2 linked regions of the Oryctolagus cuniculus genome follow. Each later gene encodes a partner of the first gene's protein in a complex. Links are inferred from orthologs where the notes say so. Each region holds a gene or a part of one and is shown on either strand. Other genes may lie near its edges.

Region 1 (15,790 bases):
AAGGCCCAAACGTTATTTTTGTCATATAAAGTGAAGACTGACTTCATGCATACTTTAAGTTGCTGACTTGTCTACACCTACATTTCTTATAAAGACTGGGGATTACTGTTTGTTTTTCTGACTGTAAACCTTCAGAAATTTTCTTAACACGGTATCAATAAGCTATCAGGCCATAGTTTTACTAATGTTTCTCAAGCATAGGTTGACAAATACTCTTTACTATGACTGTGTCTTCAATTAGGAAGTGTCAAAGTTAATGTGTTAAAGTACTTTGCTGCTATATAATGACAAAATGCTGTTGCTTAGTAATCAGTTTCTGAATTTGTAACATGGGGAACATAATGAAAGTTCACAGGAGCACCCTAAGGACTGATTGGAATTGATGGGTAGTATTAAATGAAACTATGACTATAGTTATGACTATTTATAAAATAGAAATTTAGGAATGAATGTGAAAGAGATCAGAATTTACCACTCACAAATCTATTTGTGTTCCTAGTATACCACACTCACACAGCCACCCCTTCCTTTTTAAAAACTGTGAATCAACAGTATCCTAAAAGTTAAGACTTTAAGGAGGACAAATTTAATCCAGTACTTTTTCTCTCAACAAACATTTCTATTACATATGAAAGCCATGGCAAAGACTGAGATAAGATTTTTGAAACATTCATCTACTAAGAAACTTCCAAGTAATTTTCCTAAAGCTGAAGAAACCATACCAAAAATATTTAAAATCACTACAGATTTAGAACTAGTACTGGGAAGTTCTGTGTGAGAATCTTGGAGTAATTTATCCAAAATATAATAAAAACCCCAAAGCTCCTAAGTATTGCGCATTACCGCACAATAATTAAATCATGATGTTAGATTTGCATGATATATAGTAGAAAATATTTTAAAAGTCAAAATCAAAACATATAACGTCTTTCAATTCAACCATATAAGATTACCTGCTATATGAGGTAGGAAATTTACTTTTGAGAAGAAAGTTTAAGTTTGGAGAATTTGCATTTAGTGTTTTCGAAAAAGTAATGAATTAATTTAATAAAGAGTATAAATCATATTCAAATAATGGAATTATATATGGCTAGCAATAAAAATTCAGCAATGATAGCCACATGGACTTTATGGCTGTCCAAAATGAATAAACTCTATATAGAAGACAACCTTAAAATATAGCATTAAGTGGAAAATTTTGAAAAATATTTTTCTAACAAAATGCAGAAATATCCTACTTAACATATATCTTCCCACCTAACAGTATCCATTTAGTTAATATAAAATTCATTTAGCTAAAACACCAGAATAAAGATATGACAAATACACTTACAGACAATTAAGATATTCTTTCACATTAACCTATAACAACCACCCTTGTTTTCAAATACCTAGCACAATGCCTGATAGACATCATAGACTTTTAATGAATAGCTAAATACAATCTGTTTTGCACATACATTCAAAATCCAGACAAGTTTACAAAGGTACATAAGTTGGACAAAGGCTTTCTGGCTGACTTCATGGGGTCCCACTGATGACTAGGAGTAAATCTTCATATCCATAGAAAACTGGAAAGTTGATAACTGTCTGGGTAAGGATCAAAAAAACAAAGTCAGGGAAATGTGTTACCTAAATAACTGTTGCTTTATAGAGATGGTAATATTAGTCTAATCATTCCAATAACCCATTGCACTAGTAACTCAATGAAATGAAATTTCAGTGTACCCTAAACAATTACAAGTATATTTTTAAATGGATTTTCTAAATCATTGCTTATAGAAAATAACTCACTTTTTTATAAATTATATACTGTACAAGGATTACAAAGGAACATGTTTTTACTTCTTACTATGAGTGTTATGTTGTTAACAGTATTTAACTTGGTTGTTAATTAGAAAAAGAGAAAGCTACAGCAGAGATTAAAAAAAAATAAAAGGAAATTCTCATGAAAAGAATTTCATAATAGTGAAAATTATAGCAAGAAGGAAAAGAAAGGAATGCCACAAACAGAAATAAAGAAATTCAAACACATTAAACTCCAAAACTAGTATGTTTTATGACAAACAACCAGTAAGGCCTACTGTGTACTAGGCTTTGTCCTTAACTAGTTCATGTGGCAAGATTCACAAGTAAATATTTAAAATGCAACTTGAATTCTATTTCTTAATATATGTATATATACATACACACACACACAGACACACACACACACACACACACATATATATATATATCCTTAACACAAGACTAGTAAGTAAATTGAAGCACAGGGAGAAACATAAGCATTAGAGAAAGTTAAAATAATTTTTAAAATAGAACCATTAATAGTGAGTGAAATTATTACTTTTTAAAAAATCAGTGAAAATTACTGAATTATAGGCAGGCTTATGGCTTCAAAGCTATTTACCTTAATATTCTTCCACATAAAGCCCTAAAATGCTTGGGCCGGTGCCGTGGCTCAATAGGCTAATCCTCCACCTTGCGGCGCCGGCACACCGGGTTCTAGTCCCGGTCGGGGCGCCAGATTCTGTCCCGGTTGCCCCTTTTCCAGGCCAGCTCTCTGCTGCGGCCAGGGAGTGCAGTGGAGGATGGCCCAAGTCCTTGGTCCCTGCACCCCATGGGAAACCAGGAGAAGCACATGGCTCCTGCCATCGGATAAGCGCGGTGCGCCGGCTGTGGCGGCCACTGGAGGGTGAACCAAAGGCAAAGGAAGACCTTTCTCTCTGTCTCTCTCTCTCACTGTCCACTCTGCCTGTCAAAAAAAAAAAAAAAAGCCCTAAAATGCTATACACAGAAATCATACATGCTAGTTTTAAGCCTGACAAAGTAAATTGAGGTAGTGCAGCATAGTGTCAAGAGACCTGAATCCTCCAGACCTCCTCTGCCTACTTGCAGGCCTTGCAACCTTGGGGAAGTTCTTCAAGCTCCCTGAACTTCAGCAGTATGCAACATGAAGAGGTGGATAGGGGTAGGCATTTGGCCCAGCAGCTAAGATTTCACTTCGGACACCTGCATCCAGTACTGATGTGCATGGATTCCAGTCCTGGCTCCACTTCAGATTCTAGCTTCCTGCTAATGCACACTCTGGGAAGCAGCCAATGATGTCTCAAGAAGTAGGGTCCTGGCCACCCACATGGGAGCCTAGATTGAAGTCCAGGCTCCTGGCATTGTTTTGGCCCAGTCCTGCCATTATAGGAATCTGGGAAGTAAATCAGTGCATGCAAGATGTCCCCCCTCCGCCTCTCTGCCTTTCAAATATAAATAAATAAATAAATATTTAAAAAGAGCTGGGTCCATCTGACTTCTAAGATATCACCTAGTTGAAAAATCACCACACCAAAAATCCAGGTTTTAGTGCTTAAAAAATTAGCTGTAATAAAAAATATAATAAAAAGTTTCCAGCATAAATCATTATTCAATTTGGATAAAGTCTAGAATCTTCCAACAATCATAAAGGGTCATCTGGGGGAGCGGAGAAGGATAAGAAATGTTTTCAAAGAAAAACAGAAACAAAATAAGTAAAGGTATTTGAGTAAATTTTTATTCAGCTGCCTGCTGGGCAACTACCACTTCAATTATCTATACAATTCACTTACTTAAAATGTATTCTTCACTAAGTTCTACTTTCTATCTCTTATGTTAGGGTTAGAGGATAAGAAATCCTAGGTGGCCTGGAATAGTAGTATTGATGTTGGGAGAAAAATTTGAGCTGGCACAAATTTCCATTTAAGCATACCAATTATATCTCACAGTAAGGGAAGAAACTGTTCAAATTTCTAACAGAAAGAGGGAAATAAAGCCATAGTATTTATTGCTACACAGCTTTTTTCCTCCTGTGTGTAAATGTCTACTTTTGCACACAGTTTGTAATTAAAATTTTCCAGAACACGTTTCCACATATGCAATGCTTTTCTGTTATTAAAATGAGTATGTTATATCTTTCCTTTACCATGAGGAAAGTAAAAAAATTAAAAGTATTATCATGCCCTTATAATATTTGTCAAATATCTTTCTAGATTTATATTTCTTCAATCCTTTCTAGCTGATCAAATTGCTGTTTTCATATTGCCAGTCTGATCGCAAAATTGCTGCTTTACAGAGGAATATTTTTTGCTGACATAAATTATGGGATCAGAGATACCAATGCAGTTACAAAAAAAAAAAAAAAAGAGGGAGGGAGAGAAAGAGAGAGAAAAAAACGAGAGGTGGGGGAGAGGGAGAGAGAGAATGAATGTGTGCATCCATCTTCAAGGAAAAGATCAAGAAATATATGTATGAAACAAAATGCTAGTTTCCAATGTAAGCTCTGGTAAAAAGCCTACACCAGATAAAAATACTTTCCAGCATTTCTGAAATAAAATACAGCACTGAATGAAATTTGTTCACTAAGAACATACCATGTAAAAATGAACAGTGATTTTTATCAAAATTGCTAATTTAAAAACCTAAATGTGGATTTACCTTTCAGTTTATCTGAACTTCATGATTTCTTTGACTTATACAAACATTTTAAAAATCTGTCTCCTTTTACATATAGTGAGCAATTTGGTTCAGTACCCTGAGAGAAGAAAAACTCATCTCAATTTACAACACTAAAATAAATAATTCAGTTAAAACTAAAAGTGGTACCAATCCAGCAAACTATTGATGGAGAGGTCTGGCCTTCCATGAAGCCAGGCAACATGAAGTTTTCAATGAGGATTACTTGTTCAGACAAGTTACAAAGATTATAAAAATACTCAGATTAATTACAAAATAGTTCACATTCTCATCTTATGGAAAATAAATATCAGGAACATATGTGGGAAGAGACAATACCAGTGGCATTTAAACTTCAAGCATTCTGAGCTCCTAACTTTATACACTGATACATCAAACACACATTAACCAAAAAAGCCATAATACAAGTCAAAATCCAACCTAAGGCCTCTATGAACTAAAAATCTGAAATTTTCTATGCAAGTCAGACAAGATCAAAAAATGGAAAATTCAAACCCTAAAGCCAAAACCAATCAAGTCTTCCAATCCTGAAGTCAATATCCAAATCACATACAGGACCAAAAAGGGGGGAAACACTCAGGTCTACAAATGGATAAGCAGTTCCAATACAATTCAGATCCCGACATTTTCCCACTCAGAAACAAATGCAGTGGAGCTTTTCCTAGGAAAAGAGAAAAAAGCTCTCCCAATGAATTTTGTAAGTGACATCTAGAAAGTGTGCCTCTTTCTGTCTCTTTCCCTGGCGCCTCATTGGAGGAAGGAGGGGGTTGTTTTTGTATTCTCCCCCAGTGGAGCAAGACACAATCAGATGTTAGCTGGAGGAGAGAAACCACTTTTGACAACAGCAAATAAAAATAAAAGTGCCCTTCCTCCCCTGACAGGATGGACACCCCACCTCACACGCCCCTCCCCACTCCAACCCCTCCTTCACTCACCACCCCCCCAGCACCACCCCCTCCTCACCCCGGAGCGCCACTGCGTCTGTGGTTTGGTGCTACTGTTGCCCCGGAGTGAAAGTCAGAGCCAGAGGAAGGCAGTGAAGCCCCCACAGACACACTTACCTTTCCTGCCCCCCACTTTTGAGTGCCTTCCCTGGAGCTGTGGAGGATGACACAAAGGGTAATAAAGGGGGGGAGTGGAGGAGGAGGAGGCGAAGGAGGAGGAGGAGAGCTGGGGAAGTGGCTGCTCCTGGGTGTAGTGAGATGTCTCCAGCCAGGGCCAAGCAGCAGCAGCAGCAGCAGCAACAGCAGCAGCAACAGCAGCAACAGCAGCAGCAGCAGCAGCAGCAGCAGCAGTAGCAGCAGAGAAGGGTCTGTGTTGCTAAGAGGCTTTTGGTCTCTTTCTCTCCTCCTCTCACGGCCAAAGAGGAGGAGGGTGGAGGGGGCTCGAGAGGGAGGCGAGTGGAGGGGTGAGGGGGTAGGAGTCGTGGATGGGGATTTTCGAAGAAGAAGAAACTCCTTCTCCTTCTCTCTCTGGCTCAATCCCCCTCTCAGGGCTCGGGGCTGGAGGGTGGGGGAAGGAACTCAGTCGCCTTCCCCCAACCCCCCTCAATTCAAGGTTGAAGTGGGGTAAAATTAGTGTCCTGTCCCTTTAAAAATAGAAATAAAAGGTGCCCCCCCTCTGCCACTGCCTCTCTCTTCATCATCAGCTGCTGCTGCTGCTGGGGTCTCTCTGCTTGGGGGGGAGGGGGGGTTCGGGTAGAAGAGACTGGAGGCACTCACTGCGCATGTCACTCTCTGACGGGAGGCTGGTTGGTTGAAGGCAGGAGGAGGGGGAGGGGAGGAAATGAGATGTTTTCCCAGAAGGCTCCGAGGCGCTCACGACCCGGAAGACATTGTAGCAGGGGGTAGAGGGGCGGGGGCGGGAAGGAGGAGGAAGTCGCTTCTCTTTAACACCCCTAGCTCCCTCCTCCCTCCTAAGAGAAAGTGGAGGAACGGAAGTGGGCGTGGACGGAGGCCCAAGGAGGTCACGTGCTTGCTCTGGGGGCGTGCGGGCTAGGAGAGGCTGTGCGTGCGCGGGGCATGTCGGGAGTAATTGTTTTACCGTTGGCAGCTGCAGGTGGAGCCCAGTAGAGAACGCAGCGAGGCGGTCTTGGGAAGCGGTTCTTACAGTCGCGGGATCCCCGCTTTGTCCTGGTAAAGACACGCTTTCTTGCGCGAGGTAATATGGGGGTAGGCTGTCCTGACAAGGACGGTCAGGGGAGCGGGTGGCCAAAGGCAAACCGAAAAGGGGCGGATAGAAGGTTGGGGAGACCGAGAATGTGGGAAGTGGGAAGGCTTTTCTAGGCCGGGCAGGCCAGGACCAGTCGGGATCGTTCTCTCTCGTGACCTCACCATAAGCCTGTCTTTAAATCTCTGACTAGTAGCGGGAGTCCTGAGGACGCTTGGGCCTGCAGCGAGGTGCTGGGTGAGATGCACGCTGTCCGGGTTCGAGAGAAATGGGATCTCTGCCGCCTCGGCAGGTGACTGATGACTTTCACAGAGCAGGGAACCTAACCAGGGAGAGAGACAACCCCGGTGTGTGCATTTTGACTTGACCAGAGCATTGCATTTAAGTGGCTGTGCCCGCTTCTTTGCTGAGCTCGAAGCCTTCCCTGGGCGGCTTGCAGGTAGGAGCGGGTAGCGGACCCTGGAGTAGAATTTCTCTCCTTGTCTTCTGTTGTTGCCGCAACGAAAAGCCAGTGCTTGCTCTCAGAGGGATATGCAGTTGTGTAGTTGCTGATACTGAGTTTTATGGTTGATAGAGAAGGGTCATAGTCAAATTTTCTCTCCCAATACCGTGGATGATAGATTTTTTTAAAAGGTTGTTTATCTTACCTTTCTGTGGATACGTGCTTTATTTTAAGCTTTTGGTTTATCAGTTAAACGCTACCTGTTTTTGTTGGAAATAATGTTTATACCTTATAAGGGTTCAGCATTTTTTAAGAAAGGATTTGTAAAACTTTCATAGTGAAACTGCAATTTCTTTTTCACTTTCGTTTTATATTATCTTACTTTTAAAAAATCCCAATCTGCGTTTTCTTCTTTATAAAGATACTTTGAGGAATCATCACTTATGTATTTTTTTAAAACTACGAATTGAAAATTCCTCCCGTTTATTGTGTTGGTATTATTGATTGTGTGGTGTGACCTTTTTAGGGTACACTATGGAAGTCACAGATTACATACTGTAAAAGTTTGGGCCGTGGATCCTATTTTTGCATTATTGCTGAGTGCTTACTGCTCTCTATTTGTACAGTCATGTCAGATAGATTCAAAACTAGATTCCTTTGTACTGAAACTGAATATTTACCACAGTAGAAAAAGTACAAGGCAATTAATTTGCCTTAGAATTTTTAAATCTTTTTATGAAAAAATACTAAATATGCAGAAAAGTGTCACAAACATATGCATAGTATAATGTGTAACTAAAGTGAACTCTGTAATCACTACTAAAGTCAAGAACTAGAATATAAGTGGCACCAGAGGAGCACCTGTCATCCATTCATTCCTGACATCCCCCTTTGCACCTCAGAGGGTGACATTATCTTGATTTCTGTGGTAATAATTTTCCATGTTTCCTCCTAGTATTTTTTTAACCACATATGTCAGCATTCCAAACAATATACACTAGTTTTGCTTTTCTTTTTACTTTGTGAAAATTGACTTATATATCATTTTGTATGCTTTTTTCTCTGAGATTTAACTGTTAATGTTTATTGAACTTAACCTTGTTCAGATATTTTCATTGCTGTATGGTAATGTTTATAGTGTAACAGTACAATCTTTTTAGGAATAAGTGGAGTTAACTAGTCTAATTATTGGTGGACATTTGTATTGTGTTTCATTCTTAGCAGTTATGCACAGTGCCACAATGAATGTCCTTATACTTGTAGTATTCTTATCCTCATAACATGCATTTACATATATTTATCTTCAACATCACTTTGTTTAGTCAAACTTCTCTATCACTGGATATAGCAGTTTATATCCTCACAATAGTATATGATAGATCCCTTTATTTCTGCCATCCAACTAACAGTTGGATGTAGATTCTGAGGAATGTAGCTTTATGTTGTTTTAGTTTATACTGTTCTGGTTACTAATGATATTGAGCACTTTCTCAAAAACATTTTAGTTATTTAGGTGTCCCTTTTTTTGGAATTATCTCATTGTCTTTTTAGGTCTTTCCCAGTTTTATATGGGGTTTTCTGTTTTACTTAAAGATTTGTAGCAATATGGCAAATATCTTTTCTGTGCTTGGAGTATTACTCTCTTCCTAGATCATAGCTTTGTCTCCTTTTAGTCCATTATTGGTTTATATTCTGCTGATGTTGTTATTTGAATTTTATGTGTAGCCATGACTTCAGAAAGCAAGTTCTGCAGTTACCATACCCATTATAGTGCCAGTGGCTGCATGTGGATTTTGAGCATTTGAAATTTGGCTAGTGTGACAGTTTAGGTTGTGATGTTTGTAAATGTAAAATAAATACCAGATTTCAAAGACTTAATATGACAACATTTAAAATATCTGTCCTTTTCATTTTGATTGCAAGTTGAGATTATAATTAATTTAACCTTGTTTTTTGAAATATAGTTGTTACAAAATGTCAAATTATTTTATGTATTTCTGTTGGCCAGCCCTATTTTCTGCCATCAGTGTTAGTTCTTAATATATTTACCCCCCTCTTTGTTCTTAATTCCTTCATTTATTTTGGGATCTTTCTGTTTTAATGTGAGTATACTCTTTAGAAATATCTAATTTTAAATATCCATCAGGGGCTAGCACTGTAGCTTAGTGGGTGAGGTTGCCACCTGTGGTGCTGGCATACCTTGTGGGCAGCAGTTGGAGTCCAGGCTGCTCCACTTCCATTCCAGCTCTCTGCTATGGCCTGGGAAAGCCCCTGACCCATATGGGAGACCTGGAAGAGGCTCTTGCCTCTCTGTAACTCTGCCTTTCAAATAAATAAGTAAATCTTAAAATATATATATGTATGTGTATATATATCCATTAGACATTCCATTCTGTTAGCCAATTCTCTTAAGTTTTTGCTTATCTTACAATGTCCTTGTTTTGCCTTAAATCTTTAGGAGTATATTGGGGATATTAAATTATACATTTGTGGTTATTTATTTTTTACTACCTTGAAGATAACACTCTCCCTATTTTGGTTTTTATTCTTTATTTTGAGAAGTCAGCTGTCAGGTTCTTGCTACTTTGAAGGGAATCTGTCTTTTAGCATATTTTGTTTGTCAAAGTTTTTTTTTTTTTTTTTTAAGATTTATTTATTTGAAAGTCAGGGTTACAGAAAAGGAGAGGCAGAGGCAGAGAGAGAAAGGTCTTCCATCCACTGGTTCACTCCCCAAATGGCCGCAACTGCCAGAGCTGGGCTGATCCGGTGCCAGGAGCCAAGAACTTCTGGGACTCTCACGTGGCTGCAGGAGCTCAGGATCTTGGGCCATCTTCCCCTGCTTTCCCAGGCTATGGTAGAGAGCTGGATCAGAAGTGGAGCAGCCGGGACTCGAACTGGCACCCATATGGGATGCTGGCACCACAGGCAGCGGCTTTACCTGCTATGCCACAGCGCCAGACCCCATAATTTTTCTTCTATTCCTCTAAGATGTTTTTGTGTTGGTATTCTTTTTCCTGCTTTGAGTTCACTGGGATTCTTAACTCATTCATCAGTATTTTTTAAAAATATTGGCCATGTCCATCTGTACTGTTTCTAGTTACCTGCTGAAAATGCCAGCTTTTATTGGCTTAGTGTTTGTAGTTCATTTATTGTCTATGCCAGATAACTGTAGTTTCTAAATTTTTGATAAATCTGTTTGTGCCGGCTCATTTTTGTGTCTATGTGTGTGTGTGTGCGTATGTGTGTGCATGCACACATATTGGTCTTCCAAGTATTGTATTAGAAAAGAATATATAGGGGCCAGCGCCTGCAGTGCCAGCATCCCATATGGATAGCGGTTTGAGTCCCGTCTGCTCCACTTCTTATCCAGCTCTCTGCTATGGCCCAAGTCCTTGGGCTCCTGCACCAGCATGGGAGACCGTGAAGAAGCTCCTGGCTCCTGGCTTCATATCAGGTCAGCTTGGGCTGTTGCGGTCAGTTGGAGAGTGACCCAGCAGGTGAAAATCCTCTCTCTCTCTGTATGAGTGTGTGTGTGTGTGTACCTCTTTCAAAGAAATAAATACGTCTTTTTCAAAAAAGATTATATAAGTCTATATGAGTCATAGTATAATAGTATCTTTTTTAAAAAATGCTTTATTTTTTTATTGGAAAGAGTTACACGGAGAGAGGAAGAAAAACAGAGAAAGATCTTCCATCCTTTGGTTCATTCCCCAATTGGCTATAATGGCTGGAGCTGCGCCAATCCAAAGCCAGGAGCCAGAGCTTCTTCCAGGTTTCCCACATGGGTGCAGGGGCCCAAGTCCTTGGGCCAACTTCTGCTATTTTCCCAGGCCATAGCAGAGAGCTGGATCAGAAGTAGAGCAGTTGGGACTTAACTGGCGCCCATATGGGATGCCGGCACTGCAGGCGGCAACTTTACCTGTTAAGCCACAGCACAGGCCCCAATAGTATCTTTCCTAAGAAGGTGCACTTTTCTCAGAAAGATACTTAGGGATGCTACCAATCTCAGGTCACTTGCTGGATTTTTAATATTTGGGATTCCTTCTGTTAACACACATAACAGTAAACAGATTTGAATTCATATTTCTACTTTACTTCCAATCTTCGTTTTGATGATGTTGCCCTTGAAGTCTCAACTTAAATTAGGCTGTGTTTTATCACAGTCTCCAACTGTGTTGTGAGGCCCTGTGTTTTGACTTTTTAAAATATCCTAGCAGAGTTTGTAGCAGCTCAGCCTTATTTCTCAGCCTTTTCTTTTGGGTAGACAAATGCTCTCGGAGCAGAAGTGAGAATGTAGTTTATTTCTGGTTTACTTTCTCCTAGATTTTGGCATGTAATTTCACACTGCCTTATTTCTTTCATCCTCACTTTGAAGGTTTTTGTTGTTGTTGTTGTCATCCTTAGCAGGAGTCTTGGTCCAGTTTGACAGTGCAATAAATGGCATACTCAACTCTCTTTCCTTTTTTTTTTCCTTAGATTTGGTTTTCAGATCTTTATGCTTCTAATCAAAATTTTATGATTAAACTTAACTCATATTTGTTTTATTTTTCTAAAATCATGTTAGCCTATTTAGTATAAGAAGTGAAGTTAATGAAAAGCTTACAGTTTCAAGGGTGGAAGAATCTAATATATTATTTAAGTTTCAAATACATCTGCATGTCTTAATAATAAAAATAGCTCTTTGTCACAGATTGAGTTCTTGAAAGTATTTCCTGTTGCATTTGCTCCATGGTGGACAAAATGACTGAGCCTTTATTCCCTTACTTTGCTTATTCCCATGAAGGGTGTGATGTTAGACAAAGTGGATTCCATGTCCTTCATTTCTCCCCACCACCACTATCACACACCACAAAGCAAACACATTTAGAAATTTTTGGCTGATTCCTTTGATATTAAAGTTTCAAATCTCTAAAAAGCATCTTAGATAGCTGCCTCTTTTTGTTTCAATTTCAGGCATTGTCAAATTACTACTGTGGACAGTGCACATTTAGATTATTTCCACTTACACTCCTTCCTCTTCTCACTGATGTGATAGTTTTTTGTAGATAACTTTTCTGTGTCTGTATAGTTTTAACATGCCATTAGTTGGGTCCTAGCTTGTCTGCTGGTTTTCAGCTTATCCTCTCCATGTATTCGGAAGTTCAAGTAATTTCTATTTAACCACCATTATGAAATTTCTCCTGGAACCTTTTGATCTGCTCCAGTTTAAGCCCTTTGCCTGATATGGTTGCCACTTGTACATCCTCCTATTGTGCATCCTGTTTCCTATATTTTGTGTAATCCTTTGTCTTCATTTTGATTCTTCAGTCTTCAATGGATTTCTGAGAAGCTTATGTTTTGACATGTTATATTTGTTTAAGTGTCTATTTCAAAGCAGCTGTAAGTTAGGCTGGATGTAGAATTATAAGTTGGAAGATTTTTGGGGGGATTATGAAAGAATTCTTAGCATCTGGTCAATCTGAAACCACTTTTATTTCAAATACTTTACATACTTTTATCTCCCCCTGGAAGCTTTTACATTCTGTTTATCTGAAGTTTATGGAATCTGCTTTTCTGTATTAAAGTTTTGAAATGTCACAGTAATATGATTTAATTCTATTTACCAAGCGTTTTATGAGTCCTTCAGTCTAGCAACTTACCTGTCAGCTCTGAGAAAGTTTCTGGTTTTTTTTTTTTTCTTTAATTTTCTCACTTCTGTGTATTTGATTTTGGAACTCTATTTACATGCTGTATTTCCTGGTCCTATTTCTTATCTGCCGTTTTCTTTATACTTTGTGGAATTTTACTTTACTTTTTCAGACCTTTGAGACTTTCACATTTGCTATTGTGTTTTTAATTTCTGAAAGCCATGTTTTTGGTGTGTTTTATTTTTGACGACATTCTGGTTTTTAATATCAATAGGAATTTAATTAAAGTTTTTAGAATTTTGTTTTGAAGTTTATTTCTCCATGCCTTCTCTATTTCCTCAAAGTTACTCTTTCTGTTAGTATGTTTTGGGTTTTTTATTTGTTTGTTTTTAAACTTTGAAGGCTTCTTCAGCTGAGTTTTGATCCCTGATTGTGTTCAAACTGATGTTAGGGGTGTTAGGAAGCTGTTTCAGGAGGCCAGTGCTGTGGTGCAGTGGGTTAAAGCCCTGGCCTGAAGTGCTGGCATCCCATATGGGCGCTGGTTCTAGTCCCGGCCACTCCTCTTCTCATCCAGCTCTCTACTATGGCCTGGGAAAGCAGTAGAAGATGGCCCAAGTCCTTGGGCCCTTTTACCAGTGTGGGAGACACAGAAGAAGCTCCTGGCTCCTGGCTTCGGATCGGTGCAGCTCCGGCCGTTGCGGCCATCTGGGGAGTGAACCATTGGATGGAAGACCTCTCTCTCTCTGTCTCTACCTCTCTCTATAACTCTTTCAGATAAATGAAATAAATCTTAAAGAAAAAATAAGAAATACCTAATTTTTTTTTTTAAAAAAAGAAAGCTGTTTCAGGACTTTGTGAACTAGCTGTAGATGCTTCTCATCATGGAACTATTTAACTGCAGCATTTTTTTTAAAAAAAAAAGATTTATTTATTTGAACATCAGAATTACACAGAGAGAGAAGGGAGAGGCAGAGAGAGGTCTTTCACCTGCTGGTTCATTCCCCCAATTGACCACAATGGCCAGAGCTGGGCTGGTCCAAAGTCAGGAGCCAGGAGCTTCTTCTGAGTCTCCCACGCCAGTGCAGGGGCCCAAGGACTTGGACCATATTCTGCTGGTTTCCCAGGCCATAGCAGAGTGCTGGAACGGAAGTGGAGCAGCCAGGTCTCGAACCTGTGCCCATATGAGATACCGATGCTGTGGCCTAGCAGGTAAAGCCACTGGCCACATTAACTGCAACATTTTTTAAGGGAGAAATCCTGATGTCAATATCTTTAGGTGTTTGAAAAACTTCCTCTAGGGCTGTTAAGATTGGTCTAAGAATTTTCTAATCTCCTGTCAGTGATTCTCCACTGGAACAGTTTGGCTCCCCAGGGGAAATTTGCCAGAGAAATGTTTTGTCTATAGGTAGGTTGCTACTGAAAACTAGTGGGTAGAAGCTGGGAATGCTGCAATGTGTAGGGCAGCTCTCATAATGAACAATTATCCAATGTAAAATATCAGTAGTGCCTATCTTGAGAAACCTTGCTCCAGGTGATAAAGCTGTCAATGTTCTCAGAACACATTGGAAGAAAAGAGCTTTAGAATTTCAACAGTCAATATATGAACACTTTTAATATTCTCCCTCTCAGTTTTTTAATATTTTTTTGTCTGTGGTACTCACACTTTCTGCTAAGTCTCCTGTTTTCCCAGTGTAAACTGTTTTTGTTTTAACCTATAAACAAAAAATGCCTTGTCTTCTGGGGACATGAAATAGAGGCTTCCCTTTAATTTAACGTAAACCATGTTAGATCTTTCAGGTGACAGATTTATCAATCAATTCTAGCCCAAATTAAAAGGCTAGTTATCAATGAACATGGTATTGCATGCTGATAATATTTGGACAGGATTGGCTAGTGAGACTGGTTACCTTGTGGTTTTTAGTACATGCATAAATAGGAAAATAAGGTACAAGTTGAAGATTATAAACTAGAAAATATATGAAATCTGGAATTGATGGTTTTTCCCATCCTTTTATTTCAGTTTTATTCAATTCCTGCACAAAATACTGACCTTCAAACACATTTATTGGAATTAGTACCTTTCCTTTCTTTTCTTTTTTTTTTTATTTATTTGACAGGTAGAGTTAGAGACAGTGAGAGAGAGACAGACAGAAAAGTCAGCCTTCTGTTGGTTTATTCCCCAAATGGCCACTACGGCCAGCACTGCACTGATCTAAAGCCAGGAGCCAGGTGCTTCCTCCTGGTCTCCCATGCAGGTGCAGAGGCCCAAGAACTTGGGTCATCCTCCACTGCCTTCCCAGGCCATAGCAGAGAGCTGGACTGGAAGATCAGCAGCCAGGACTAGACCCCAGCACCCATATGGGATGCTGTTGCTGCAGGCGGAGGATTAATCAAGTGAGCCAAGGCACCGGCCCTCCTTATTTCTTTTTACCTTTAAATCCGTATTTGCCCACCTGCCTCCTCCAGTGAAACATAATAAAATATTAATCCTGTACTACTTTCATGAGGAATAGGGAGATTGAGAATAGTATAAAGTTTAGACTTTTCAGCATTAATCTTGTGAGTCTGTTATCTTTTATTTTGCTACATACACATTTTAACTTCCTCCAAAATCTGTTTTCATATTTTACCATTTATAAAAATATATTTTTGTTTTTAATCTAGATAATCCATAAATTCAGTTTATGTTCCTGTCTTAAGATAATCACTTCCAGAGTTTGTGTATGTCTCTGTCATCTTATTTTTTAATAAGTAAATACCAAAAATGTTTCCCTAAAATTCTGGGTGTATCTAATAACCATTAGACTTATTGGAATATATAACACAAAAACTGTATTATCTCCATGTGTTGCAGCATCACCCTGCTATAATGTCTGACAACTTTTATGCTTTTAAAAATTTCCCTTAAAACTCATATATATTTGTGACATGTTATTTTCTTTTTATTTGAAAGGCAGAGAGAGAGAGACAGAGAGAGCTCTTCCATCAGCTGGTAAACTCCCTAAATGACCCCTACAGCCAGAGCTGGGCCATGTCAAGGCCTGAAGCC
Region 2 (15,930 bases), about 46 Mb from region 1:
TACACTCATGTAACCTGAAAACCGTGACACTATGACCTCTTCCTAATTGGGATCCTTTTATTTCTTGCTCTTGTCTAATTGCTCCAGTTAGGATTTTCTATACTGTGGTCAACAAAAGTGGTAAAAGTATGTATCCTTGTCTTGTTCCAGATCTTATTTACCATTTCCCCATTCAGTATGATGTTAGTTGTTGGCTTGAGATTTTATATATATATATAAATATACACACATACACATATTACTTCTGTTGAGTTACATTCCTTTTATGCCTAATTTGATCAGTTTTATCATGAAATGATGTTGAATTTTATCAAATGATTTTTCTGTGTCTACAGATATAATTATTTGCCCATTTCTGTCTCACATTTAGTGATTTGCATATGTCGAGCCATCCTTGCATACCTTGGATAAATCTTACATAATCGTGGTGAAAGGTCTTTTTAGTGTGCTGTTGGATTAAATTTGCTGGTATTTTATTAAGGATTTTTTGGCATCCATAGTCATCACAGAAATTGGCCTGTAACTTTCCATTTCTGTCGTGTCCTTGTCTGATTGCCTTGTCAAAGCAATACTGGTCTCATAGAACGAATTTTGGAGAACTCACTCCTCTTCTTTTCTTCTTCTTCTTCTTCTTTTTTTTTTTTTTTTTTTGGACAGGCAGAGTTAGACAGTGAGAGAGAGAGAGACAGAGAGAAAGGTCTTCCTTTTCTGTTGGTTCACCCCTCAAAGGCCGCTACAGCCAGTGCGCTGGGCCGATCCGAAGCCAGGAGCCAGGTGCTTCCCCCTGGTCTCCCAGGTGCAGGGCCCAAGCACTTGGGCCATCCTCCACTGCACTCCCGGGCCACAGCAGAGAGCTGGACTGGAAGAGGAGCAACCAGGACAGAATCCTGCACCCCAACTGGGACTAGAACCTGGGGTGCCAGCGCCGCAGGTGGACGATTAGCCAAGTGAGCTGTGGCACTGGCCTCCTCTTCTATTTTTTGAATAATTTGGGAAGGATTGGTTTTCATCTTCTTTAAAATTGTGGCAGAATTCATAACTATGACTGTAGTCTTAATAATTTTTGAATATTTTAAAATTTACTATATATGAGTAAAGATAAACATCATTTGTTTCTTGAATATAGCCATTGCCAATATTCCTGCTGAACTATGTTGTTTTTACTTTTTATTTGTTGAACTCTTTATTTTAGTGTAGCATTAAGCCTTTGACTATAATGTAAATTAAAAATATGCTATCTTAAAAATAATAAATAAAATAGAATGTTATGTAATGTTTGGCATAATTCAGCAGTGAAGCTAACTGGCACTGGGCTTTTCTTTGACAGGAGGCTTTTATTCCTGATTTAATCGCAGTACACATACTTGATCTTTTTAGGGGTTCTATTTCATTATTGTGCAATCTTGGTAAGGTTCATGTGTCCAAGAGCTTGCCTGTGTCTTCTAGGTTATTGAATTCATTGCCATATAGTTGTTCATAGTAATCTCTAATAGTTATTTTCCTTTTTTTAAAGAATTATTCATCAATTTGAAAGAGTGACAGAAAGGAAGACACACACACACAGAAAGAGAGAGAGAGAGAGAGAGAGAGAGAGAGAGACTCTTCTATCCACTGGCTTACTCTCAAAATGACTGAAACAACTGGGGGTAGGCCAGGCTGCAGCTTAGAACCAGGAAATCCATCTGGGTCTCCCACTTGGATGGCAGGGACTCAAGCACTAGGGCCATTTTCTAATGCTTTCCCAGGCACATTAGTGGGGAACTGGATTGGAAGCAGAGCAACTGAATTTCAAACTGATGCTCCAACATGAGATGCTGGTGTCACAGGTGGCACCTTAATCCAATACTTTGTATTTCTGTTTTTTTTTTTTTTTCAGTTAAAATGTCTGTTTTTATCTCTACTTCTGTGTATTTGAATCTTTTTTCTTTTGTTCTTGGTTAGTCTATTTAAGGATTTATCAATTTTGTTTATCTTTTCAAAGAATGAGCTCCTTATTTTTTTAAGATTTCTTTATTTATTTGAAAGGCAGAGTTACAGAGAGAGAGGAGGAGAGACAGAGAAAGAGGGAGAGATCTTCCACCTGCTAGTCCACTCCCCAAATGGATGAAGTACCCAGGGCTGGGCCAGAGAACTGCATTGGGGTGTCCCACATGGGTGGCAGAGGCTCAAACACTTGGGACCATCTTTCACTACCTTCTGAGGGAGGTAGATTGGAAGTATAGCAGCCAGGACAGGAACTGGTGCTTGTAAGTGATGCCAGCATCATAGGCAACAGCTTAACCTGCTGAACCACAGTGTCAGCCCCAGAGCCAGCTCTTTGTTCCATTGAATTTTGTATTCATATTTTAATCTCTGTCACTTATTTGTGCCGAGTTCCATTATTTTCCTTTTAACAATTTTGTATTTGTTTTGTTCTTGTTTTTTGAGTTGCTTGAGATGCACTGATTGTTTATTTGAGATCTTTCTGGCTTTTTTTTTTTTAAATCAGGCATTGATTGACATAAACTCCCCTCTTAGTCCTGCTTTTGCCATATTCTGTAGGTTTTGGTATGTTGTTTCTATTTTTGTTCAAAAAATTTTTTAAGATTTATTGTATTTATTTGAAAGGCAGAGTTACAGAAAGAGCGGAGAGAGAATTTTCCATCTGCTGTTTCACTCCCCAAATGGCCACAATGGCCAGAGGTGGGCCAGATCGAAGCCAGAAGAAAAAGCATATTCAAAGAGATAATGACAGGGGCTGGCGCTGTGGCATAGTTGGTAAAGCCGCCGCCTGCAGTGCCAGTATCCTATATGGGCGCCAGTTCAAGTCCTGGCTGCTCCACTTCCGATCCAGCTCCCTGCTATGGCCTGGGAAAGCAGTAGAAGATGGCCCAAGTCCTTGGGCCTCTGCATGCTCTTGGCTCCTGGCTTCAGATCGGATCAGCCTAGTTCTGGCTGTTGTGGCCATTTGGGGAGTGAACCAGCAGATGGAAGACCTCTATCTCTCTCTCTCTCTCTCTCTCTGCCTCTCCTTCTCTCTCTATGTAACTCTGACTTTCAAATAAATAATTCTTAAAAAAAAAAAAAAACAACGAAATAATGACAAAATTTCCCAAACCTAGAGAAAGTCAGAAGTATCCAAATACAAGAATATCAAAAATCACCAGACTCAACTCAACCAATTCTACCCCAAGATATTATAACCAAGCTCCCCAAGGCCAAAAGAGAGGATTCTCAAAACTGCAAGATAAATAAGTAACACAGGAAGCCACCCCAATCCTCCTGATTGCAGGAGTTTTTAACAAGTCAAATTGATATCATTCTTCATTCTGTAGCCAAAGAGATCTTCCTAAAAGTTGAGTCTCATCATTTACTTCTCTGCCTAAAATCCCTCCCTGATTCCCTACAGCCTGCCTAAAGTCCAACACTCTCAGCATAGCACTCTTTAACACTTCCCTTTTTTTTTTTTTTTTTTTTTCTTGAACCCTCATTCCTAAGCCTCAGCATCCAGGTTCCTTCCCCTGGGGAACTATCCTCAGCCTGTCCAAGCAGTATAGCATTTCCTCTTACATCAACAGCTATTCATTAACTGCTTATTAAGCATATGCTGGGCACTGTTATATGCTGGAATTGGAGCTGTGGAATGTTTTCACTCCTCAGAGCATCTGGAGAGGGAGACTAACACTTTGTTTAGACAATTATTTAGCTATAAGTTTGTTGAATGCTATATGGTGTTGAGAATGTGTAACCATTTTTAGGAATGGCAAGGACCTACTTTCCTTATGAAAAGACACTGAGGGGCCAGTGCTGTGGTGTGGCAGATGGAGCCACTGACTGCAGTGCTGGCATCCCATATGGGTGCTGGTTCCAGTCCTGGCTGCTCCACTTACAATCCAGCTCTCTGCTATGGCCTGGGAATGCAGTGGAAGATGGCCCAAGTCCTTGGGTCCCTGCACCCACGTGGGAGACCTGGAAGAAGCTCTTAGCTCCTGGCTTTGGATCGGATGAGCTTCCGAGTAAACCAGCGGATGGAAGACCTCTTTTTCTCTTGCCTCTTCCTTTTCAAATAATAAATAAATAAATCTTTTTTTTTTTTTTTTTTTAAGACACAAAGATTTGATGGGCCATCCCACTGTGGCTTTCAGAATTCTCCCTTAGGCAACTTCATTTGAATAGCCAAGAAGTTATAGGAGACCACGATCCTCAAAAGGTCCTTCTAACCATTACGGTTATGAGTCTGGTCCAGTCTGTAGCCAGACTGATATCCACAATGTAAATCTATGTGTAGCAGGCACTGTACACGTCATCACATACTTTTAGCAAAACCCAGTTGCTATTATCCCTACTTTTTTTTTTTTTTTTTTTTTTTTTTGGTCGACAGGCAGAGTGGACAGTGAGAGGAAGAGACAGAGAAAAAGGTCTTCCTTTGCCATTGGTTCACCCTCCAATGGCCGATGTGGCCGGCGCACCGCGCTGATCCAAAGCCAGGAGCCAGGTGCTTCTCCTGGTCTCCCATGTGGGTGCAGGGTCCATGAACTTGTGCCATCCTCCACTGCACTCTCGGGCCACAGCAGAGAGCTGGCCTGGAAGAGGGGCAACCTGGACAGAATCAGGCGCCCTAACCGGGACTAGAACCTGGTGTGCCGGCGCCGCAGGTGGAGGATTAGCCTATTGAGCCACGGCGCCAGCCTATTATCCCTACTTTCACATTAGCAACGTGAAGTTCAAATTGAAAGGCGCCATCACTCTTCCAAGGTCTCCCTATTTGGAAATAGTTGAGTCAGCAGTTCCAACCCAGGAGTTTCAGGGCTCCAAGTCTTCTTTTCTCTGAGCATGTGTCTACTTCTGTATCTGTTTCCAGCATAGCGAAAGCCTTATGCTAATGGCAGCATTGTGCTGAGTCCTTCCACCTTCGCCAACACACACCAGCATTTCCTCAGGTTAGGAGTTCGAGGCAGGTCCAGACCTGGTTTCAGGTTTGCAAGTACTGAACCTCATTTTACACTGGACGCCACACGTTTCCCACACCCGCGTTAGGGGTAAACTCTGACGTTGAGACTACGGGCCAGCACAGTCCCCTTCCCCGGTGCCTGAGCGGAGTTGGGGGGGGGGGGGGTCCACTTTCCCGGCGTTCAAGGTCTCTACACTTGGCACCTTCAGGCGGGAAAGCGAAGCCCCTCGCGGCACACTGCAAGCCACAGCGCCCCCCGTGCCCTCCCGCCCCCTTTTCTTCCACTCATCCCCGGGGCATCCTCTCCCCAGCTCGGCTGGAAGAGCCAGCGACCCGAAATGCCCCTGCCAACATCAGGCGGACAAGGCCGCCGCCGGCTCCGACCGCGGGAGACCAGGGCGCCAGCGACGCTCCGCGGTCGCGCTGACGTCACGCCGGCGCGTCCCGTTTCCGGCGGAGCGGAGGTGTTCCCGTGGTGACGCAGTGCTGCCCGGGAGCTTCGCTGCGGTCTCCTCCGAGCTTCCCGCCAGGATGCCTCACTTGGAAAACATGGTGCTTTGTCGCGAGTCCCAGGTGGCCACATTGCAGTCCCTGTTTGGAGAGGTACGGTGGTCAGACTGTCTTCTTTCTTCCAAATGCTGCAGGGGGGGACATGTCCGTGGCTTTGAGACTGCTTGTTTATTTAGGTAATAATTTCGTGTCCGGGTTGAGGGGCACCTGCCCATGGTTTCCGCTGAGGTTGGGGGCTGTGTGGCTGCCAGGGGCTACCGCGGACCCCCACCCGGAGTAACTTCTAGTGGGCGCCGGGGCGCGGCGAGGGCCGGCTCTCCTCTCGCACACCCGGCGCCGTGCAGATGTCGGGAGCGCAGAGCCGCCGCCGGAAGTTGCCGGTGTGCTCTCAGCCCTAGCGGCTGGTGTGGGGTTCGGCTGTAACGGGCTCGCGCCTCGCGGGAGGTGTGGTGGCTGCGGCAGGTGTAGCGGGTCGGCGGCGTGCCCACGCTCCGGCAGCCTGCTCTCCTGGACGCGTCTGCGGGTTCAGATCGGCACCTCCAGGGAAGCCGTCGTCCTCTGCGTGGAGGAGCTCGGCGAAGGAGTCCCTTCTGCGCGTAAGAAGGAGCGCGCATCAGTTCAAAACTGAAATTATGTGATCTTCTCGGGGCCTTTGGGGTGCCTTTTGCTCCAGACTCATTGATTAGGTTTCGATCTTTATAAAAAGAATGAGCCGGGGCCCGGTAAAGGCTCCCCCTGCGAGGTTGGCATCCCATGTGGGCTCCGGTTCGAGTCCCGGCAGCTTCTCTTCCGACCCGGCTCTCTGCTATGGCCTGGAAATGCAGCAGAAGATAGCCCAAGCCGTGGAGCCCCTGCACCTGCGTGGGAGACCCGGAAGAAGCTCCTGGTTTCTCTCTGGCCTTTGCGGCCATCTAGGGAGTGAACCAGCGGATGGAAAATATTTCTCTCCCTCTTCGCTCCCCATCTTTGTGTAACACTTTCAAATAAATGAATAAATCTTAAAAAAAAAAAGTAAGTGACAGTTTAGAATTAGCCTCATTTCCTGATCATCTGGTTTGCCATTTTTTTTTCTCAAGATTTATTTATATGTGTTTGAAAGGTAGAGTTACAGAAAGAGAGAGAGGTGTTCCATCTGCTGGTTCACTTCCCAAATGACCAGGAGCTTCATCTGGGTCTCCCATGTAGATGGCAGAGACTCAAGCACTCAGGCCATCTTCTGATGCTTTCCCAGGCTTGTTAGTAGGGAGCTGGATTGAAAGTGGAGCAGCCTGACGGCCACCCCTATGGGATGCTGGCCCCCTATCTGGTTTGCTTTTTTCAGTATTTTCATCCAACTAGAAAAGAAGTAGCCTGGGCAGTATTAGTGGAAGTACCACTCTCCATTTAAAGGGACATGCTAGGCGGGATACACAGCAGACTCATAGAATGACAAATGCCCTAAACAGCACTCTGGCCTCAGAATCAGTTCTTAAGGCATTCAGATCTGGCTAAAAAACCTATGAGAGTTTCTCAGGCATGGAAAGCAAAGGCACTGTGGCAAAAAAAAAAAAAATGACCTAAATGAAAGATCTCTGTGAGTGAGATCCCAGTGGAAAGAAAGGGCCATCAAAGAAGGAGGTACCTTTCTCTGAAGGGAGGAGAGAACTTCCACTTTGATTATGGTCCTGTCTAAATATTGACAGAGTTGGCAAACTCAAGAGGCTTCCATAGCCTTGGCAGCTCATGACAAGAGCCTCGGGTGATTACTGACGCCATAAATAAGAGTGTCAATTGTTAAATCAACAACAGGAGTCACTGTGCACCTACTCCCCATGTGGGATCTCTGTCCTTAATGTGTTGTACTATGAGAATTAATGGTAAAACTAGTCTTCCAACAGTACTTTATAGTTTGTCTGTGTGGGTATAAAATGTTGAAATCTTTACTTAGTACAGAGCTGGTCACCTGTATATAAAGATAATTAAAAATGAATCATAATGAAGAATGGGATGGGAGAGAGAGCAGGAGATGGGATGGTTTGCAGGTGGGAGGGTGGTTATGGGGGAAGAACTGCTATAATCCAAAAGTTCTTTTGAATTTTACATTTATGAAATAAAAGTTTTCTATTAAAAAAAGGGACATGCTAGGGAAGTAAGAAGTCAGCTACTATATTTTCAGTGAATTTTCAGGTTATAGTGTTGAAATTACAGTTATCCAGATTATCACGGAAACATGTTCTGTGGATTTCTTCACTGGAACTGATAAACCCAGGTCATTCCTACTAGAAGTGCCTCTTTTAGAAAAGAATATTGGCAAACAGAGATGAGCAGTGCTGCCTTAGTGTGGGCTACAGAATGGAGTCTTTCACTCTTACTGCAAATCATGTTTAATATTCATGTCACTTTTCTGCAAGGTGTGCATATGGGAAATACAAAGAACTATAGCAAAGAACTATAAAAAATGGCTTCATGTTTCCAAGAAGATTCATTTATTCATTCAAGAGGAAATAGTTACTGAACATCTTTTCTGTTTCAGGCACTGTGCTAGATACTAGCTTATTAGAATTTGTGTTAGGGAAGTTTACAAAAGTTAAATAACAGTCCAAGAGTGTAATATCATCCTAGGTAACAATTGAAAAGATGTTATAGGATGGTGATTGCTTTAGGCACCAAATAATAGCAGCATTCCAGAAAAGGAAGGGTTCAGTGTAACTTGGCAAAAAAATAAATAAATAAATAAAAACTCCAGAAGCCTGCTATTTCGCTTCTCTTTAAAGGTGTAATGTGTGCAGTGTTTTGGATAGCAGAGATCCCCAGTATCACGCATGTAATGAAAAATGTTTGAGCCAGTTAATTCTAAGATTGTTACATACAAAGTTTAAAAAAAGGATTCACATACTAAAATATCCACTTGGTAAATTGTTAGTTCATTTTTAGCAGTGGAGCTGCTTTTGCCACAGGTGTGCCATTCCAAAAGCTTTCTCCTGTATTCATCTGAGCTCCTGATTTGCCTTGTAAAAGGAAGTGTTTAAGTGAGAGACTAGAATGTAATGCATTTGTATGATGCTGATGCTGAGATAGAAGATGGTGTACAGACTTGGCTTTCTTATGGGAATGACATCAGCCAGTTTTCTTGTTTTTTTTAATGTATGTTGCCCCACTCAGACTATAAACTCCCAAGTAGTAAACCATCTTTTACTGATACTTGTATTCTTTTTAGTGATTGTGCTTTAGAGCAGTTAGTAGGTATCTGATGAGTTTTCTTTGGACTCATTAAGCAGTAGTATTGACAAGACCAACAAAGGGTGTTCGAACCAATTTTACTCTTCTTGAGGGTGCTGACTTACTGTGCTGCAGGAGGATCTTGTGACTATTTCTTTTTAAATCTATGTATATGGATTTCATTAATATTTCATTTGATGAGATGTATGCATTTTTTGCCAGAGTCAATGAGTATATATAATTCAAAGTATTCTACAAATTTTCTTAAAAATAAGGACTGTTAGAATTACTTCTAGCCCCCTTGATTCTATATGCTTAGTTTCAAAGCAGTAAAATGAACGGTGAAGTTGCAGTCTGCAAGGGGATTAAATCCTTTAAAGAGGATTAGTATAAAAATGGAGTATGGGCAAAATTATCCTTGGAAAACTCTTTACAGTAAGTTGAAAATACAGTGTCCTATATATTAAAAATGCAGGAGTTTGTATATGTAACTGTATGCAGTAATAAAAACTGTAAATACGTACAATATATGCCAGATACAACTTTATAGACATTTTAATTCCGTAACAGAAAATACTTGTAAGAGTTGAATTCACATAAGTTCAAAATCTAACAGTCCACTGCATGCTCATTATTAATGTTTTTTTTTCTTTTTTAAAGATTTTCTTTATTTGAGAAGTCGAGTTACAGAGGGAGAGACAGAAAGATCTTTCCTCTGCTGGTTCACTCCCCAAATGGCCGTACCGTCTGGAGCTGAGACATCTGAAGTTAGGAGCCAGGAGCTTCCCCCAGGTCCCTGGTGCAGCTGCAGGGGCCCAAGCACTTGGGCCATTCTCTACTGCTTTCCCAGGCCATAGCAGGGAGCTGGACTGGAAGAGGAGCTGCCGGGACTCGAACGGGCACTCATATGAGACTCTGGCACCACAGGTGGAGGCTTAGCCCACCACACCACTGTGCTGACCCCACTCACTGTTAACGTTACTTGGATTGAGTATTTCACCTTGCCATATAGAACTTTATCACAAGTTGAGGAATAGTTTATCAACTTCATGATATTTATCTTTTTTCCCCCCAGAGACATCATTTCAGCTTTCCATCCATTTTTATTTATGGACATACTGCCAGTGGGAAGACCTATGTAACACAAACTTTGTTGAAAACTTTAGAGGTAAGAATAATCCCAAACTCAGTGCTAATTGATTTTTTAATCACAGACCCCTAGAAACGGTTCTTAACTTTTGTTTGAATCCCTTCACTGACTGTAAACTTTGAAAAGTGTTATTATTAGATCATTCGAATCTTGATGTTAAAATTTATTTTTTAAATTGGGTCAAATTTCCCTTTCTCTTTCATTTGCTGATTGATAATATTTGGAGGAAAACAGATGAGAAATTGTTTTTAAAATATTACAATTTGTTTCTTTTTCACTGTTTATAATATTAATACTGATAATTTGTACAAATACAAAGCTAAACATATTACTTTACCTTATTTATCTTCCTGTATTACCTGTCTGTGATTGATGTCACCAATGACAGAGCTGTCCAAAAAATCTTTAACTCTTTCTTCATCCTTACTAATCCAGTAAACCAAACCAAGAAACATGTTTTGTTAATCTACACCCTCAAAATACTGACTCCATCTACTAGTAACCATAACTGTTGCTCCCAATTCAGTTTCATTACCATTGTTTCTTCCATGTATTTTTGCATATCTCCTCGTTCCAATCCTGTCTTCACCCAACAGCTAGCTCATGCAAATCTTAAGCTCTTTAGGACAATGTTCAAGTGATTTGCCTGATACGTAAGACCTTTCATGAGCTGAATTCAGTTGATCTCCCATCATGTCATGATTGAGGGTTTGGAATGTCGAGTCTGGCAGAGTTGTGTTCCTCTCTTGGATTCGCCACTTAGTGCTTTCCCCATCTGCAAAATAGGGATCGTAGTGACGACATGTAGGATTGTTAGGAGAACTGAATGTTAGTAATGAGATAAAGGTTAGTGGCTAACATATTCTAAGCCAGGAATGGGCAGAGTTTTTGCTAAGGGCAAGTTAGTAAATATTGAGGACTTGGGGGCAGCATGGTTTTTGTCTGGATTTCTTCACACTGCCATTGTATAAAAGTAGTGGTATCACCTGAATGGATGTGGCTGTGTTTCAGAGCAGTGTGTATACAAATAGGGGTGGCCAGCCCGCAGGGTTCAGTGTGCTGTCCCAGTCTTACTGGAGCCCTGAGGCTGCATGGTTAGTGCAGCTCCCTGAAATACAGTCCTGGCTCTCTCACTTTCAAGGCTTAGCACGTGGTGCTCCCTCTGTTTTGGGTGATCCTTTACTCACTCTTCCACTACTGCCATATTGCTTGGCAAATACTTATTTTGTCACATTTTCTTCTACTAATATTCTAGGAAGCCCTTCCTGCCTCATCTGTTAAATGCCCATCTGTTTTGCAACCTTAGTACTCTGTTACAATGTTTAGCCCTCCCAGCTGTAACTTTGTGTTATGTTTCCCTGGCTTCAGACTGGGTTTCTTGATTATCCCCAGACCAGATAATAGTGTGTAACACATACCAGCTTGTGGATTTCAGCCTTTGATCATGAAGACCAGCTGTGCATTTTGAAAACTTGGGTGCCTGCTCTCTACAGCAAACTTTAGAATCTGAGAGGACAAGGTCCTGACCCAAGCCCTTACATTTGAGAACTCCTTTGTATTAGGCAGCCAAACAAATACATATTGAGGGTGGGCATTTGACACAGTGGTTAAGATGCCTGTGAGTTCCTTGGTTCTAGTCTGGGCTCTGCTTCTGATTCCAGTTTCCTGCCACTGTACATCTTGGCAGATAGCAAGTGATCATTCAAGCACTTGGGTCCCTGCTACCCAAATGGGAAACCTGGATTGAGTTCCAAGCTCTGAGATTCAGCCTAGCTCAGCTCCAGTTGTGGACAGTTGAGAGGGGAAAAAAAAAAAAAAAGCCATACTGAATAAAAGCCTGAAAATCCAATAAGGAGGTTTTGTATTTGTATTAGTTAACTTTTCATTGTCACAACGAAACACATGAATCAAGCCACTTAAGAGAGAACACTTAAGAAGGAAGAAAGGTTTGTTTTGTTTTGTTTTGTTTTGTTTTTTAGCTAACAGTTTTGAGGCTAAAAGTCCATTCGGCATAATGCAGGCTTTGGTGAAGGCTCCGTGGTGATGATGGAGCTTGAGGGGGGGAAACAGTGAGAGAGGCTGGACTCTAATTCAGGCTTTTATACCAGTCTTTCACAAGAACTACCTGAAGGTATGCCCTGAGTGACCTAGACCCTCCCAGGAGGCCCTGCCCCCTGAAGGTTCTACCTTCACCCCCAATATTACTACCCTGGATCCAAGCTGCAACACATGGTCCCTTAGGAGACATTCAGTGTCCAGACTAATATCCAGACCTTAGCAGTATTTAAGGGCTATAGTCCATGTTTTCACCCATTGTAATTTTTGGTGCTATTTAATCAGTGAGGTGTTAATTTTTATGACTTCTGGTATAGGTGTACAAACAGGCACTTAGAATATGCTGTCATTGAAGGTTACAGATAGTAAAAATGGAATAAGCCAGATATTTAGGAGATGTTGTAGACTCCTGAGCTTAAAGGAATGGGGGTATAGAGGGTTTGCAAACACTGGTAAAACTGCCCAGGTAAATATGATATGGCCTTAGTTATGCTGTAGCTCTGAGAGAGAAAGAAAATCCTTGTAATTGAGTAAGATTTGTGAAATATCACTACAAATAGTTACTGCTGTATAGGTTTCGTTATTTGTGCCAGATATCACAAGATATCTCCTTTGATCAGGGCTATTTTGTGATTTCATTTTGATAACAGACTGTATTTGTTTGTTTCCTTACTATTTCTGGAGTTAACTCATTAAAATTATTTTAAATTTATTTATTTTCATTTTACTTGAAAAGCCAAAAAGACACAGATAACAGAGACAGAGAAATCATCCATCCACTGGTTGACTCTCCACATGCCAACAGCAGCAGAGAGGCCAGAGCCAGGAACTCAGTCTATGATATGAGCTATAATCCTCATAGGAGAATCATTAGATTTTAACTCTTTAAATTTCCTTTTTGACCTAGACTACTTCATCATTAAGGATTTGAACTTAAAATAATAAGTTTGTATTTCCCCCTTAGAATTTTAATATTCAATTACTTGGATATATTTATTAATAAGAATTGTTTAGAGTTTTCTTTGAATCTCTGTTGGAAACAAGTGACAGACCTAAAGAAATAATTGAAGTGAGTTTAGTAAAGGGAGTATTCTACAAAGGTTGAGGAAGTTTTAGAGGAACCAGTAAGGGATGTTGATGCATCAGGGCCTTTACCAACTCCAGGGCTGAAGCAGTCATAGAAAGGAGCTGTTGGCAGAACCCAGTAAGAATTGTAGCCTTAGAGAGAAGGCTGCCCAGCTCGAGCTGTTGGTTTTGGAAGAAACCAGCATCACATTGTGGCCCAGTAGGGGATGGTTGTTGGTCTCAGGGGAATAAGTATTCAGCTTCTTTTTCCTACCACTCTCCTTCAGTCTGCTGCTGCTGCCTCCCGTTGGTTTCTCCAGCCACAGCCAGAAAATAAAAGAGTCCAGGCTAATGCAGTATGTGGCAGTCAAACTCCTGGGACAAGGACAGATTGGAGAACAGTGGGGGTGTAGATTTAGATAGGCAAATGGAAACTGTACAGCACAGCTGTTATTATATCTGTATGTTTGCTTTATTATTAATAATTTTTTTGGTTTTTGTTTTCAGCTCCCGCATGTCTTTGTGAATTGTGTTGAGTGCTTTACCCTGAGACTTCTTTTGGAGCAAATTTTAAACAGGTTGAGTCATCTTAGTTCTTCCGAGGATGGATATTGTACTGAAATAACCTGTGACACATTCAATGACTTTGTTCGCTTATTTAAACAAGTTACCAAAGCTGAAAGTCTCAAGGATCAGACTGTATATATTGTAAGTAACTTGATTATGTATCATCTCTTATTTGAAAATTGATTACTTAGCGGATCAATTCCCTATATTTCTTTTTTTTTTTTTTTTTTAATTATTTATTTATTTTTTTTTTTTGACAGGCAGAGTGGACAGTGAGAGAGAGAGAGACAGAGAGAAAGGTCTTCCTTTGCCGTTGGTTCACCCTCCAATGGCCGCCGCAGCCAGCGCGATGTGGCCGGCGCACCGCGCTGATCCGATGGCAGGAGCCAGGAGCCAGGTGCTTTTCCTGGTCTCCCATGGGGTGCAGGGCCCAAGCACCTGGGCCATCCTCCACTGCACTCCCGGGCCACAGCAGAGGGCTGGCCTGGAAGAGGGGCAACCGGGACAGAATCCGGCGCCCCGACCGGGACTAGAACCCGGTGTGCCGGCGCCGCTAGGCGGAGGATTAGCCTAGTGAGCCGCGGCGCCGGCCAATTCCCTATATTTCTTTTGACTACCATTACGTACAGTGCTCTTTGAAAAGTGCTTTTGGAATACAGAAGTGTGCTAGATATATTCCTTATGCAAAGGGAGCTTTGTTTAATTTATGACACATATTCACCTGTGCAGTGAGATGCAGACTGCTTGCTTTTTTTTAAGATTTATTTATTTGAAAATCAGAGTTACGCAGAGAGAGAAGGAGAGGCAGAGAGACAGGTCTTACATCCGATGGTTCACTCCCCAAATGGCCGCAGCGCTGGAGCTGTGCCAATCCGAAGCCAGGAGCCAGGAGCTTCCTCCAGGTCTCCCACGTGGGTACAGGGGCCCAAGGACTTTGGCCATCTTCTACTGCTTCCCCAGACCATAGTAGAGCGCTGGATTGGAAGTGGAGCAGCCAGGACTTGAACTGGCGCCCATATGAGATGCCGGCACTGCAGGCAGTGGTTTCACTTGCTACGCCACAGTGCTGGCTCCCACAGACTGCTGACTGAGGTACATCTAGTATAGCTTTATGAGGTGATGCCCTTTGAGAAGGACCTAAGAGAAGGATCAGGGTGTTATGGAGAGAAACTGAAGAAGAATTTCAAATGCAAGGAATTATGTAAGCAAAGTGATATGGATGGAATCGGAGGCCAGAGAAGTCCAAATTGTCTAATTTTAGTGGATTATAAAGTATGAAAGGTGTCGCTCCCCCTCTTCATGGAGGAACGACACAGGACCCTGCGCTGTTCTTTTGTCTGCTCGGCCCTCCCCGGGTTTGCTGCTGGTTCTTCCCGGGTTGGCTACCGACCCTTCCACCTCCGTGGAAGGGCGGTTCCCCCTGCCACCTTCCCCACTTCCGCGGGGGAGCGGCACACCGCCGGCCGGCTCTCTCGGGGGCTGCACAGGTGTTCCTTCAGATAGATGTTCCTGGTGCATGTTGTCTCTCTCCTCCTTTATAGTCCTCTTCCGCCAATCCCATCTCTGCTACCCACATGCTGAGTACGCTGCTCTCCTCCAATCAGGAGCAGGTCCTACAGTTTATTGGTTGAACTGGAGGCAGCTGTGTAGAAGCTGTTTCCTCCTCTCCCAGCGCCATATTGTGGGAGAGCAGATGCATAGAATAAGTCTTAATTCCAGTAACTTAGTCTAGTCCGAGTTGTTCCCAGTTGCTCCCCACAAAAGGGGTTAAAAAGAAGACTGGAAAGGTAAGTTGGGGCCAGATTATGGAGGTTCTTGGCAAGTATTAACTTTATTTCACTTTATAGCACTTTATTTCCTAGGCAGTGAAAGGAGGTAGTAAATACTTAGAGCAACAAATATGCCTTAGGAAGGCTGCTCTGAATTCACATTGAATAGGTAGCGTTGAGGGAGATGAGAGACTGCAGGCTGAGGAATGGTTGTGACTGTCCACACAGGAAGAAAGTTGACTTTGGGCTAGAGTTGGGCAGACATGCAGAAAGAAAGAAATGGAGAAGATGGCAAATGTCTGACTTGTCAGCTGTGCATGGGGTAGTTTTATGGACAAAGATGAATTATTTGATTTTAGCTTGGCTGAGTTTGAATCTAGTTGTTATGTCTATGTGAAAATGACTAGCATACAATTTCATCTTTTCACCTAAAAGAAGTACTTTATGGCTTCTCTTGAGCTTATCAAAAATGCCAGCATTATCAAGTAAAAATTCATGAATTCAGTGTGATACCACTAAAGTCGGTCTGATAAACAATATGGCTTCCACGTGACTTAAATGGTGAGCAGTATCCATGGCATGGGTGCTCTGGACAAAGGGATGATTCAGGTGCTGGGTGAGATAGATTTTATCATGCTTCTCAGATCAATGCACAAGTCAAAACCTGTGAAGTGCTTATTTCTGGC

Evidence for each region.
Region 2: the proteins of ORC4 (region 1) and ORC5 are in contact, whole or in part, in a cryo-EM structure (PDB 7JPO), measured with the Homo sapiens proteins. The link is inferred for Oryctolagus cuniculus from reciprocal best matches to the Homo sapiens genes ORC4 and ORC5. Residues at the interface, in NP_001177808.1 of Homo sapiens: Ser18, Gln21, Arg22, Arg25, Glu26, Cys29, Arg30, Gln31, Arg69, Thr74, Asn100, Leu102, Leu103, Gln104, Ile105, Ile109, Glu113, Arg116, Asp162, Arg277, Met281, Met284, Leu285, Asn288, Met311, Asp312, Ser313, Lys314, Asn316, Ile317; in NP_002544.1 of Homo sapiens: Ile17, Ser20, Leu21, Phe22, Gly23, Glu24, His26, His27, Phe28, Ser29, Phe30, Pro31, Tyr36, Gly37, His38, Thr39, Thr98, Phe99, Asn100, Val103, Arg104, Arg131, Glu134, Asn136, Pro139, Gly140, Arg143, Gln145, Glu146, Leu147.

Annotation. Positions count from the first base shown.
Region 1 is NC_091434.1:94,205,734-94,221,523, forward strand, and holds the start of ORC4 (origin recognition complex subunit 4), read left to right. Parts: upstream 1-5,610; coding exon 5,611-5,813; intron 5,814-6,224; exon of another isoform or gene 6,225-6,328; intron 6,329-6,339; exon of another isoform or gene 6,340-6,555; coding exon 6,556-6,638; exon of another isoform or gene 6,639-6,663; intron 6,664-6,877; exon of another isoform or gene 6,878-6,964; intron 6,965-15,790. UniProt on the Homo sapiens protein: Component of the origin recognition complex (ORC) that binds origins of replication. DNA-binding is ATP-dependent. The specific DNA sequences that define origins of replication have not been identified yet.
Region 2 is NC_091434.1:140,229,094-140,245,023, forward strand, and holds the start of ORC5 (origin recognition complex subunit 5), read left to right. Parts: upstream 1-5,351; 5' UTR 5,352-5,461; coding exon 5,462-5,533; intron 5,534-9,713; coding exon 9,714-9,806; intron 9,807-13,415; coding exon 13,416-13,616; intron 13,617-15,930. UniProt on the Homo sapiens protein: Component of the origin recognition complex (ORC) that binds origins of replication. DNA-binding is ATP-dependent. The specific DNA sequences that define origins of replication have not been identified yet.